Saccharomyces cerevisiae S288C: one gene and its partners. Changing the gene in region 1 together with any one later gene gives a genetic interaction. Each region holds a gene or a part of one and is shown on either strand. Other genes may lie near its edges.

What was found.
Region 2: of ISN1 (region 1) and PHM8, changing one enhances a phenotype caused by changing the other (phenotypic enhancement), as found in Saccharomyces cerevisiae (2 studies listed by BioGRID).
Region 3: of ISN1 (region 1) and POF1, changing one suppresses a phenotype caused by changing the other (phenotypic suppression), as found in Saccharomyces cerevisiae (one study listed by BioGRID).

Annotation. Positions count from the first base shown.
Region 1 is NC_001147.6:621,551-629,787, reverse strand, and holds ISN1 (IMP 5'-nucleotidase), read left to right. Parts: upstream 1-1,807; coding exon 1,808-3,160; downstream 3,161-8,237. Other genes in the region: SUMO ligase NFI1, read left to right, coding at 1-1,428; SLP1 (Slp1p), read right to left, coding at 3,296-5,059; ATP-binding cassette multidrug transporter PDR5, read right to left, coding at 5,413-8,237. UniProt on the Saccharomyces cerevisiae protein: IMP-specific 5'-nucleotidase involved in IMP (inosine 5'-phosphate) degradation.
Region 2 is NC_001137.3:224,118-227,354, forward strand, and holds PHM8 (bifunctional nucleotidase/lysophosphatidic acid phosphatase), read left to right. Parts: upstream 1-1,771; coding exon 1,772-2,737; downstream 2,738-3,237. Other genes in the region: ATP-binding cassette family ATPase ARB1, read right to left, coding at 1-1,082; Smc5-Smc6 complex subunit KRE29, read right to left, coding at 2,741-3,237. UniProt on the Saccharomyces cerevisiae protein: May be involved in phosphate metabolism.
Region 3 is NC_001135.5:43,161-46,330, reverse strand, and holds POF1 (nicotinamide-nucleotide adenylyltransferase), read left to right. Parts: upstream 1-1,893; coding exon 1,894-2,670; downstream 2,671-3,170. Other genes in the region: EMC1 (Emc1p), read left to right, coding at 1-1,708; SPS22 (Sps22p), read right to left, coding at 2,775-3,170.

The sequences.
Region 1 (8,237 bases):
GGTAATCCTGCAAATTTAACGCCTTATCTTAAAGTACCGACCGAGATGAATCACCTAGACTTACATTATCTCAATATTGATAAAGAGTACTCTATAAGTTGCTTTATAGTGGAAGTTTTTTCACCTGAAGCTCTTCTGGGGAAAATTCTGAAAAGGCCCAAAATTATCAAGCAAGCCACCACAGCATACATCAAAAGAACCTTGAATGAGCAAGATGATGACGATATTATTACAACCTCCACGGTGCTGAGTTTGCAATGTCCTATATCTTGTACAAGGATGAAGTATCCGGCGAAGACTGACCAATGTAAGCATATCCAATGTTTTGATGCTCTCTGGTTTCTTCACTCTCAGTCACAAGTCCCTACATGGCAGTGTCCGATTTGTCAACACCCTATAAAATTCGACCAGTTGAAGATTTCCGAATTTGTAGATAATATTATTCAAAATTGCAATGAAGATGTTGAGCAAGTTGAGATATCTGTTGATGGCTCATGGAAACCGATTCATAATAGTTCGGCCGTTATAACGGATACTGTTAACCAAAATCACAGTGTGAAAAACGAGAACCAAGGCACTGTCAAACAAGAGCAAGATTATGACAGCCGAAATGCCTTCGATACTAATTTGCGTAATGGTTCAAACCACAACGAACCCGAAATAATATCTCTGGATAGCTCAGATGATGAAGCCTTTATTCCGGCTAGTAAAAGCTTCCCAACGCACGTGAACCCCCGTAATGACCAATTAAGAGCAGATATATTTCCCTCAGAATCGGAAGGATCCAGTGACTACAACCCCAATCATACATCAACGCCGAAAGGTTCTCCAACTATGGACCAAGATAATTATCAAGATGCTTTTCAAATGAGGTCATTTTTGAACCAAGGCGCTACTACAAATATAAATGACACACCGACGAACAATAGCAGTATTAATTCTTTCGTTACGGCGACGAATGGTGACAGCAGAATATTCTACAATAGAGGGCCATCAACGCCACTATTACCGGCTGTTCTACAAAATTTGACTAATCAAACGGAAGCGCAGAGAAACCCCTACGGACCTAATTACAATACCACAGCTCAAGATCGTAATCTTTTGGGAATCGAAGGTGATTTGCCTCCAATCCCCCCTGTGGACCCAAATTCAGAAGCAGAAACTGAACTACCAACAAGGACCACATCGGCGGCACATCTCCCTCCATATATACACGTGAGCACCAGCGGCCATGGGGATGATGGAAAAATTAGGAAGAGAAGGCATTCTAATGTTTCTATCTACATTCCGAAGAATCCATACGCCACCCTTATGAAACGGAGACCACAGGCAAATCACGCCATAATGAATAAAACTCTGGCCCAAACTAATGACTTTAACACATCGGCTCAAGATAACTCGGAAGTGGTCGATTTAACATCAGATTGATTAACCGTCTTTTGATTTCTTTCCTTTCCGATTGTATTCTATTTTTATTTCTATTGTTTCATTTCGCTCTTAATATTGACTTCCACTTTTGGGCGTAAATGATGTTTTTGTTTTGATAAATATTACGACTTTTGTTATGTTTTTTTACTACTGTGGTTACTTCATGGGTGTAGTGTGCGAATCTGCAGTGATAGGTTTCTATAGATTTCTCTGTATACTTCCTGTATTACACTATAATATTTCATGTCCTTTCACTTCCCACGTTTAGCGGGACAGGCCGCCCTTAAATTAACAAAATTTAAAAGGTAAAGGAATGTACTAAGAAAAGAAAACTATTCAAAGAAAGTAACAAAAGATCGTGAGTTAACTTATAATAGCAATGTCCTCAAGATATAGAGTGGAATATCATTTGAAGAGCCACCGCAAGGATGAGTTTATAGATTGGGTAAAGGGGCTACTGGCCTCACCTTTTGTTCTACATGCCGTCTCTCATGAAGGTGACTACAATGACGACTTAGCAACAACTCAACGTGTAAGGTCGCAGTATGCTGATATCTTTAAAGACATTGAAGGGCTGATTAAAGATAAAATAGAATTTGACTCAAGAAACATGAGCCAAGACGAAATTGAAGATGGCGCCTCTTCTCAATCTCTGAATATATTAGGACAATCGCGTTTAAATCTTTTGGTTCCATCAATTGGAACATTCTTTACGGAACTTCCATTGGAACAAGCTTTTCTATGGGAAGACTCACAACGGGCCATTTCGGCGCGTAGAATGGTAGCACCCAGTTTTAATGATATCAGGCATATCCTGAATACTGCACAGATATTTCACTTTAAGAAACAGGAGAACTTACATAATGGTAAGGTTTTGAGATTAGTGACTTTTGATGGAGATGTGACGCTGTATGAAGATGGTGGCTCCCTGGTTTACACTAATCCTGTAATTCCTTATATTCTCAAGCTGTTGCGGTGCGGTATCAATGTGGGAATAGTCACTGCGGCCGGATATGATGAAGCTGGAACCTATGAGAACAGATTGAAAGGATTAATTGTTGCATTACATGATTCAACTGATATACCAGTTTCTCAAAAGCAGAATTTAACAATAATGGGTGGTGAGTCGAGTTACCTTTTCCGTTACTATGAAGACCCGGAGGAAGATAACTTTGGCTTTAGACAAATTGACAAAGAGGAATGGCTATTGCCTAGAATGAAGGCTTGGTCCCTCGAGGACGTGGAAAAGACTTTGGACTTTGCCGAGAGAACTCTTAACAGGTTAAGAAAAAGACTAAACCTACCTTCAGAGATTTCTATTATCCGTAAAGTCAGGGCAGTGGGTATCGTCCCAGGCGAACGGTACGATGAAGCTTCTAAAAGACAAGTTCCTGTTAAGCTTGATAGGGAACAACTGGAGGAAATAGTTTTAACCCTTCAAAACACTTTAGAGTCTTTTGCCCCATCTAGAAGAATTCAATTTAGTTGTTTTGATGGTGGTAGTGATGTCTGGTGTGATATTGGGGGGAAAGATCTTGGTGTTCGTTCATTGCAACAATTTTATAACCCTGAATCTCCTATCCAACCCTCTGAAACCTTACACGTAGGCGATCAGTTTGCACCGGTGGGATCAGCAAATGATTTTAAGGCAAGGCTAGCTGGATGTACCCTCTGGATAGCATCCCCTCAAGAAACAGTGAATTATCTTCATAGATTATTAGAAACTGATTAAAACAGTTTATGTAAAATGAAATTAGGACTATAAAAGTATATAGATATTTCCTATAGAAACACCTCATATATGGCGGTGGATTTTTTCATCTTGAATGAATTATGCTTAGAATTATGATTATGGGCCCTCTAGGATTCATCTGATTGCTTGTTGAACAATGTCTGCCTTTTCAATAGCGCCATTTTTGCTCTCTTCGAAATCTTCAAAGTAAAGCTCTCTCGTTATTAATAGATAGGATATCAACCCTACGAAGGCGAAAAATGACGCATAAACAATTCTTCTTTGAAAACTGACTTCTTTTTCCAATCTTTCCAAATGCAATAAATGACGGTTAGTAAATTTGTCATTCTCCAGTTTCTGTTCTTCTAATATACGTAAAGATTGATCTTTCAATTGATTGGCAAAGTTATTCAGCAGATCTAGATTACTCATCATTGTTTCGTTGAATATCGTGACAAGATGACTGAACTTTGCTTCGTGCGCCATTTCAAGTTGTTCAAACGATTTAGATAGCAGTTTGCTCTGTTCCTCAATGTAAGAAACTGTCAAACTAGAATTTGTCTCCAGTTGTGACAGCCTTTTCATGATGTTCTTAAAAATGGATTCTTCTGGAATTACAGGAACAGCCGAAGAAGAAGAAGAAGATATCATTTGCTTGGAAGGACAAAAGGATGCATTAAGCACCTTGAAAAATTCATCGAACTTCAAAGGGATGAGCTTTGAAGTACATGATAATGCACCAGCTAAGTCTGAGAGATTGCTTGTGTTTGGAGTCTCTAAACGCGTTTCTATATTGTTACATCTGTCTTGGATATTTTGTTCATTCAAATTGTTTATATTGTTAGTTCCTATGGATTGTTCTTTATCCTCTTGAGCCTTTAGTTGATCGATCTTAAACTCATCCATCATTGATTTACCATATACTTTGATTAAGGATATGGGACAATAAAATTCGTCCTCATAATGGGATAGAATTTCGATTTTCAAATAACTTGCCCAGATTTGGGGATTATGTATTTGAAACTTTTGTAGTTCTCTTGAATTTCTTGCCTCGAATTCTCCTAATATTGTCCATTCATTTTTAACCATCGGTATTCTATCAGAAACTGACACCCTAAATCTCTTGAAGGTCGAGGAAAAGAATTCGTAATTAGCAATTTCAATTTCCTCCACCAGGATATCTTCACAAAGCTCTATAACAATGAATTGCTGCGGAGCTGAACAGGGATTCAGTAAATACTTGTCTTTGCTCTCAATTAACGTAGAAGTCGCTCCAATCGCTTCTGGATTGCTTTTGACAATTGTTGCAGCGCAATCCAAGGATGCATAGTTGAATTTTTTTTTGTAAACTTTCTCTATGTCCTTTTCCTCATTGAATCCTTTTTGATTTTCTTCTCTTTCACTCCACTCGTTTTTGTTTGTCAAAAACCCCAAATCGATTTCCAACTCTTCTCCTATGCATTCTTTCTCTTTATAGCAAGAGGGATCGACTGGCTCCCTCACTCGACTAAGATGACGTTCAGGGCCTGATGAGTGCTCCTTCGACTTGACCTTCTTCCATTCGTCGAACGATAAAAATGAATTACTCGAATCGCCCGGATTCCTTGGTGTTGCAGGCTGTGTTAGTGCATCTTGCTCTTTCCTCTCACCGTTTTCCCGTATGTCAGCCTGCCGTATGTCAACTTTAGAGGCCTGTCTAAAATCATGGGTTCTTAAAGAACCGGTGGATAGTGGTGAGGAATGTTCTTTCTGCACGTTCGTTGTACTTCCAGTCGTGATCACAGTGGTATCATGTAGACCAATCTTCGCATTTTGAGCAGTTTTGTTCCTATCTAATGCAAAAGATCCGATTATACTTACCCACAAAATAAGGCCGTATATGAGAAGACGGTTCGCCATTCGGACAGATAATGATATAATATATCTTATATTTTAACTATATCCATTGCGTCCTTTCTTTTTAACCGTAAGGCACAGTTAAGAAATAATGTTTTCACACTAAATGCTGATGCCTATAAAAAAAAAGTACCGATGAGATAACCTAGGAATAAAATTCTCGGAATTCTTTCGGACATTGAACTTTGATTTATCAGAGCTGGTAAATTCAAGAAAATTGAAATGTAGAAAGCTCGCTGAATTAAGAAAAAAAAAATAAAAACTTATTATTACGCACCTATATGTAGTGATTATGTATGTTTATTAAAAAAGTCCATCTTGGTAAGTTTCTTTTCTTAACCAAATTCAAAATTCTATTATTTCTTGGAGAGTTTACCGTTCTTTTTAGGCACTCTTGCTAACCAGTAGAAAAAGACACCAGCGATATAATTGAATGCAATATAACAGATGAAGATACCATAATTTCTCCATCTCTCACTGTAGAAAGAATTGACATTAGCTAAGTAATCATTGGTTGTAGATATTTGACAGAAACTACAGGTGTCAGTGGCATTTTCATCAGTTAAGTAACCAGTCTTTGCTAGTTGTAAATATGGTTCCATGTACTGCCCACATGTCATACCGGATGGTGGTGTGAATTCTAGCAATTCGTAATCAGCGCATTTGACGTCTACGTTAGCAACACCAACAGCCAACAGAGCCTGAATGAAATAAGTCAAAGGTGAAACCCTGTACATGAATATCCAAAATCTAGGCATGGCACTTGGGGTAGTCATAACACCACAAAAAGACAAAGACATTGTAAACAACAAAGAGGCTAAGTTAGCTGCACTTTCTGCAACTTGGTTGAATGAAATGACAAGCAGACCCATAGAACCAACATAAACGTAGAAAGCACAAGAGAACAACCAAAATAAAGCACCCCTTTCATGCAACTGGCCAGCTGCAGACGCGTTGGAGTAAAATCCAATTGGATAATAGTAGATAAAATAAGCAATAGTACCTGCCAATATATTCCATGGAACTTCCACGAATATTTGAGCGAAGATAAATGAAATCCAAGAAAAAGTCCTTGAGGGGCGTTCCCTGGCCTCATACAAATCTCTTTGCTGGACAAAAGATGGTAGGTATTGTTGTAGAATAGGATTGAAAATAACCGTAAACATGAACACAGCCAACATTTGATTTTGTAAACCCTGTAGCGAGGTTCCTGCTTTGAAGAAAGTGAAACCGATGAACAATTGATTGAAAATAGTTAAAATAAACTTCGACCATAAATAATCTGGAGATCTCCAATATTGCTGGAATAGACGAATACTGACCAATTTTGTTTGATAAATAATTGATTGTGAAAATTCGTGTTTGTCCTCAGCTGCAGTTATCGAACCTTTCTTTGGTAATTCTCTTTCCATCCAATCTAATTCAGATTGAACGGCCCTGTACTCTTCAGAATTCCTCCAAACTTCGTAATAATCTTGATTTGCATGAGAGCCTGGAGCTGCACCAACAACTTCTAGCATCCATTCAGCTGGGTTGGCGTCAGCAGGGCATTTATGAGCACCATGGCTTTCAAAATAATCGATCATAGTTTTACAACCTTCGCCCAAGTCGCCAAAGTAGACAGTCTTACCACCACGTTGCATAAATAGTAAACGATCGAATTCTTGCATCAAAATAGCAGAGGGTTGGTGAATAGTACATAGAATTGCTTGACCATGATTTGCCAACTTTTTCATTAGCTGACAAATAGACCAAGCAGTTTGAGAATCCAAACCAGAAGTAGGTTCATCTAAAAAGACCAACAGTTTTGGTTTGGCAGTTAATTCAACACCAATGGTTAATCTTTTTCTTTGTTCAACGTTTAAACCTTCACCAGCAACACCAACAACAGCATCAGCATATTTTTCCATTTCAAGAATTTTAATAACTTCTTCAACATATCTGTTCTTTTCTTCAATGGAAACTTCAGCTGGTTGACGTAGGTAAGCAGAAAATCTCAATGACTCCCTCACAGTGGCAGTTTTCAAATGCAAATCTTGTTGCTGACAATAACCAATGGATCTTGGGAAAGATTTATCACGGGGAATACCATTGACCAAGATATCACCAGTTATAACACCCATGGTAACCCTTTCGGCCAAACAATCCAGAAGTGTGGTTTTACCAGCACCTGAAGCACCCATTAAAGCTGTTAAAGTACCTGGTTTAACCCAACCATCAACATTGTTCAAAATACGTCTTGTTTCGGCCTTAATCTGAACTTCGTAACAAAGGTTTCTCCAGTGAAATATAGCCTCTGACTTGGATAAACCAATTTCTCCGTAAGTATCGGATTCCTCTTCAGAGCTTTCTTGTAGCATTTTCCTATCGCTGGATAAGTCACTACGTTCCCCAACGTTTTCGGGGTCATTTGCATTCTTTTCAGTTAGTACACCTCTTTTCTTCATTCTTTTAACTATACTGCGTGGGAAAACTAATATTTCACCTTTTTGTTTAGCACCCTCGTTGTATTCACATAAGAATAGATAGACAAAGAAAAAGAAGACGACATAAGCCATACCAATACCGAAACCACGCCATTTGTCTTTGTGGTAGTATTGATAAGTTCCTCTAATGAAATCATCACCCAGAACATAGTCTTGGCCTGGAACAGCTCCAACCACGGTACAAACAGATTCTGTACTAGAAATGTTTGCATACGCAGGACCACGAGGAACATATTCAGCGCAGGGGAATTTTATACCATGAAACTCGTTAATTAACAAAGATTCGAATAAGTAAGCCAACGGATTGATATACCAAATCCATTTAGACCAACGTAGGATCTTCTTCTTAGGAATAGCAAAACCGGTATACATGGATAGAGCCAACAATAACATAGAAGCGGGAACCATAGCTTCTGACAATGTCTTTGTTAAGGAACCAACACATCTAAACAAGTGAGACATGGAGAAAACCGCGACAATGTTTATTAATAAGTAGAAAAAGAATACACCACCATTTCTTCTAAAGTCTACTAAGAAATAGAAGATTATATTGAAGCAAACAGCGATGATTAACTTTGAGGGTATTTCTGATAGAACTGATGCAAAAGCGTCAGCACTTGGATGGTATAACGAATATGTTCTATGTTTTTCAGTGATTGGTCTGGCCTCATATAACGAAAAGATTTCTAACAGAG
Region 2 (3,237 bases), on another chromosome or scaffold:
TCCAAAATTTTTTGTCTAGATTTAGCTTGTTTCACCAAGTTAGCATAAGTACCAGCAGATGCAATGAATTTTTTAATATGTTGGATTTCCTCTTGTTGTTTATTGTATTGTTTCATTTGATTGGTTTCCAATTCGGATCTTGTCTTGTGATAAGAATCATAGTTACCACCGTAAGCAGTTAGTTTTTGAGCTCTCATGTCAATCATATTGGTACAAACACCGTTCAAGAAATCTTGAGAGTGGGACACCAAAACTAAAGTTCTGTCAAATCTCTTCAAATATTCTTCTAACCAAACACAAGCTTCCAAATCCAGATGCGCAGTAGGATCATCCAACAATAATAGAGTTGGCTTAACGAAAAGAGCTTTTGCCAACGCAACACGCATTTTCCATCCACCAGACATATCTTTGGTTTTCTTCAAAATGGTCTTCTTGTTGAAACCTAGACCGATCAAAATGATAGCAGCTCTAGATTCAAAGGTGTCTGGATCCAAAGAGTCCATTCTTTCATATAGAGGCTCTAATAACTCGGACTCAGGACCATCTTCCAAGATAGTCTTTTCGACTAAGTCTTCTATTCTTTTCAATTCGTGTTGAGCTTCAGTGACAACGTAGTCCAAGGCCGACAATTCACTTGGTTCCGCAGGTTCGTCCAATAAATAAATATCAATATGCTCAGGAATAGGATATTCTCTAGTAGCAAGAGCCTTTAAGAATGTTGACTTACCACAACCATTTTCTCCCAGAAGACCATATCTACGGCCGTAGTTTAATTCTAAACCAGAATCTTGGATCAAAACTTTACCGTGGAACAGTAAAGAAACAGAAGATAGCTTGATATCACGGGAAGTCTCCAATGAACTCAAAACACCAGTGACAACACGATCTGAAAGACCATCCTTATCTTGTTGCAACTTCATCATCTTGATTTCTCTAGCGGCTGCATCTACCTCCGATTCTTCAGCAGCAGCCTCCTTTTTTCTACCTAGCTTTCTGATGGTTTTACCGGCAGCGGCTTTCTTAGCCTCTCTTTCAGCTTTCTTAGCATCTCTCTTGGCCTTTGACGCAGATACTGGTGGCATATTTGGTTCTGTCAAGTTACTGTTTGTAGCACTGAGGGGAAGAAAACAATTTTTGCAAGAAAAAAGTTAAGAAAGAAGAAGAAAAACTACACGGGCACTAACATGTTAAATATGATAATATTTTTTTTTATAAGAGAATCACTACCAAGTTACCTGAACTACGTCAAGGAAAAGCCATTAATTGAGATGAGGTGAACGAAGAAAAAAAAAAAGAAAAAAATTTTTATTTTTTTTTCCATCGGTCTCCCCCCTCACCTTTCTTTTTTCATTCGTTTAAAGTGAGATTAGGGTAATGCATTTCGTATTTAGTGAGTAAACGTCAAAGGTGATATAGGGGGTTTTTCTTTTTCCAGAAAAAGAAAGAAAAAAGCCGGCGGTCGCCGCCGGAGATGGTTGAGAAAAAAAGGGGGCAGCAACGTGCTTCACATACAAACCAAGTTCTTGGATCTGTACGATCGTTTCTGCGGGTTTTTCCGTATTTGCCGCAATACTGAAATGGCTCATTATTAGGAGATGTGCATATAATGTATATACATACATTTAGCATATGTAATACATTCGTACATGTATAGAAATATATGTTTATATATATATATATATATATATGTATATACGAACTCGGTTTAACGCATAGTTGGTAAAAGATTTAATGTAGATAAAAAACACATAAGTTTTATACGCACGTAATCATGACTATCGCTAAAGATTACAGAACAATTTATAGAAACCAAATCAAAAAGCAGATACGACTAAATCAGGAGCATTTGCAAAGCTTGACACATCTAGGCTCACAAATCAATTTCGAGGTGGATCCTCCCAAATTACCGGATCCGGATCCTGCTCGAAAAGTATTTTTCTTTGATATCGATAACACTTTGTACAGAAAATCTACGAAGGTACAATTGCTCATGCAACAATCATTATCAAATTTCTTTAAATACGAATTGGGGTTTGACGACGATGAGGCAGAACGCCTAATCGAATCGTATTATCAAGAATATGGATTATCCGTGAAAGGTTTAATAAAGAATAAACAAATTGATGACGTCCTACAATATAATACATTCATCGATGATTCCTTACCTTTGCAAGACTATTTAAAGCCTGATTGGAAGTTAAGGGAGCTGCTGATCAATTTAAAGAAAAAGAAGCTCGGCAAATTTGACAAACTATGGCTGTTTACAAACTCGTACAAAAATCATGCCATCAGATGTGTTAAAATATTAGGTATTGCTGATCTATTTGACGGCATAACCTATTGCCACTACGACAGACCCATCGAGGAAGAATTCATTTGCAAGCCAGATCCAAAATTCTTCGAAACAGCTAAATTGCAAAGTGGGTTGTCGAGCTTTGCAAATGCCTGGTTTATTGATGACAACGAAAGCAATGTGCGGAGCGCGTTGAGCATGGGGATGGGCCATGTTATCCATTTGATAGAGGATTACCAATATGAGTCAGAAAATATTGTTACTAAGGACCACAAAAATAAGCAACAATTTTCCATATTGAAAGATATCCTTGAGATTCCATTGATAATGGACGTTGAAGTTTACCGTCCATCCTCTATTGCCATAAAGGAAATGGAAGAGTTGGAAGAGGAAGGGGAAGCAGTCAACTGGTCAAATCAACAGATCAATGTTCAGTCATCATGACTGTTACCTGATTTTAGAAAACAAATTTAATATTCCCTTCAGGATAGAAATTTCAACATCATTTGTCGTTTCATTAGAAATATCCAAAATACAATCTTTGAAATATTCTGTTACTTGACATTTGGGACCAAAAGGAATAAATTTCGAGCCATACATCGTTAAAATAAAATATAGTAGATTTTTATAGTTTTTACAATCAAAAAATTCGTTAAACTCTTTGATTATATTTTGCTGTATAGTTTCAGTCCGACCTTGCTTTTCACTAAAGCGTCTCCTGAGCAAGGCGCTTTGTAAATGAGGGAAGATTTGTAGTAGCCTATAATGTAAAAAAAAGTCGTTCTTGTCCACAATTTCGAAATATGAATTTATGAAATGTGCCTCATTAAATAATTCCAGGACCTTAAAACACAGTCTATGGTCCGATTCCATAGCGTTAAAAACCTTTCTATCCAAGATTAAACATATGAAGGCTTTCAGAAAGAATTCTCTAACATCATCAT
Region 3 (3,170 bases), on another chromosome or scaffold:
TGATACCCAATATATGGGATTCTCTGCCAATGGCACAGAATTGATCCCCGTTTGGCAAAGAGATGAATGGTTGACTAACGTGGTAGACTATGCTGTATTGGACGTCTTCGATTCTAGGGATGTGGAGTTGAACAAAGATATGAAAGCGGAACTTGATTCAAATTCGCTTTGGAATGCTTACTGGCTTAGATTGACAACTAATTGGAATCGCCTTATCAACTTATTGAAAGAAAACCAATTCTCACCAGGACGTGTCTTCACTAAACTCCTAGCTCTAGACGCTAAGGATACCACGGTATCAGATTTGAAGTTCGGATTCGCCAAAATCTTAATTGTTTTGACGCATGATGGCTTTATCGGCGGCCTTGATATGGTCAATAAGGGCCAACTTATCTGGAAACTCGATTTAGAAATTGATCAGGGCGTCAAAATGTTCTGGACGGATAAAAACCATGACGAACTTGTTGTTTTTTCGCATGATGGGCATTATTTGACAATTGAAGTTACTAAAGATCAACCGATTATCAAATCAAGATCCCCCCTATCTGAAAGGAAAACTGTTGATTCCGTTATTAGGCTGAATGAACATGATCACCAGTATCTGATTAAGTTTGAGGATAAGGATCATTTACTGTTCAAATTGAATCCCGGCAAGAATACGGATGTACCAATAGTTGCCAACAACCATTCTAGTTCCCACATATTCGTCACAGAGCATGACACGAATGGCATTTATGGCTACATAATCGAAAACGATACGGTAAAACAAACTTGGAAAAAAGCCGTAAATTCGAAAGAGAAAATGGTGGCATATAGCAAGAGGGAAACAACAAACCTAAACACTCTTGGTATTACACTAGGTGACAAATCGGTTCTTTATAAATATTTGTACCCCAACCTAGCGGCTTATCTGATCGCTAATGAAGAACATCATACAATCACTTTTAACTTAATTGATACCATTACAGGAGAAATCCTCATTACCCAAGAGCACAAGGATTCTCCGGATTTTAGGTTTCCAATGGATATTGTTTTCGGTGAATATTGGGTCGTTTATTCCTATTTCAGTTCTGAACCTGTTCCAGAACAAAAGTTAGTAGTGGTGGAATTATATGAGTCACTAACCCCAGATGAGCGTTTGTCTAACTCAAGCGACAATTTTTCTTATGATCCATTGACTGGACACATTAACAAACCTCAATTTCAAACTAAACAATTCATTTTTCCCGAGATTATCAAAACAATGTCCATTTCCAAGACAACGGATGATATTACCACAAAGGCAATCGTTATGGAATTAGAAAATGGACAAATCACCTACATACCAAAGCTTTTATTGAATGCAAGAGGTAAACCAGCAGAAGAAATGGCCAAGGATAAGAAAAAAGAGTTTATGGCTACCCCATACACGCCAGTTATCCCAATTAATGATAATTTCATTATCACTCATTTCAGAAATCTATTGCCAGGATCCGATTCGCAGTTGATCTCCATCCCAACCAATCTGGAATCCACAAGCATTATATGTGATCTAGGCCTTGATGTATTTTGTACAAGGATCACACCTTCGGGCCAATTTGATTTAATGAGTCCTACTTTCGAAAAGGGTAAATTGCTTATTACTATATTCGTCTTGTTGGTGATCACGTATTTTATCCGTCCTTCTGTTTCAAACAAGAAGTTGAAATCCCAATGGCTAATTAAATAGATATTTACATACACATTATATATATCAGATACACATTTCAAGGCTCCTTATTTTGGCTTTCTTTTTTTTTTTTTTTTTTTTCCCTGGAAGACGTCATACTCGTGGTTATATAATCTCCTACTTCTTTGGAAAATGGACACTTAATCAATGACGGTTGATAGCAGTACGTGCACTAGCAGACTAATATGAAGAAGACGTTCGAGCAGTTTCGAAAAAGCAATTTACTATTTCAGGTTCTCAAAGGACCCCAGCATCTAGAATGTCAGAAGTTATTTGTCCTTGATTCTTCATTCAATCCACCACATCTGGCCCATTTTCAACTACTATCGCAGACTATTAAAAACTTCAAATTGAAGGACACCCGTTCGCATGTTTTATTACTGTTAGCGGTGAATAATGCAGATAAGTTGCCTAAGCCGGCATCTTTTCCAACTCGTCTGGAAATGATGTGCTTATTCGCTGACTACCTTCAGGAGAAGCTCCCCCAATCTGTAGTATCTGTCGGGTTGACTGTTTTCTCGAAATTCATCGACAAGGACAAAATATTACATGAGCAATTTGTTAAAGGATGCAGTGCAGATATAGGCTACTTAGTTGGTTTTGATACAATTGCTAGGATCTTTGATGAAAAATATTATCATCCTTTAAAAATCAGTGATGTAATGGAGAGCTTCATGTCGGGATCTCAATTATATTGCTTGGCGAGAGGCGATTGCCATCTCAGTGCTGAATCGCAACTAAGATACGCCAGTGACATCCTTGAGGGAAAATTCGAACCGGTAATACCAAGAGAATGGGGCGCTAGGATTCATGTTATGCAAAATGATTATCCAGCATTAAGAAATGTTTCATCATCCGAGATTAGGAACAAACTGAAGAATGGGCAAGTGGAGAGTTTGAAAGACGAGTTGCCATTGTGCATATACGATTATTTGATCAATAATAAGACAATATTTGATTGAAAGAGAAAGATAGAAATTCAAATGCCTTTCATGGAGATATATGTATATAGATAAAGATAATATTAGGAACAAAAAAAACTTTCTGTTATACTAGACTAGTAATCTTAAAACAATAACATAGCAACAAGGCATGTACCAAAAAGAAGGGGGTCCAATTGCATGCTTGGATTTGCTGAGTTCGCGTATTTTGAAATCACTCTTTTCTTGGAGTCTTCACCTTCTTGCGTTAAATCTTTGTACCCTTTTTCTATGATTGTACCATCCTGTTTAACATTCAGCGTATTTTCCTTCTTACCAGAAATACAAGTGAATTTCCCACCCCTGATGATTGATCTTCCATTTGATGGGTTTGTCCATTTATTGCAATCCAACACGTTTGATGAACTCTTAATAAAAGCGCTACCTTTCACCAGTTTCAAGCTATCGAACATGATATCTTTGAACGAACCTTCAAAGAAAATAGCACCTCCAATCTGCTTCAAGTTTGGCAGGAAAGTAAT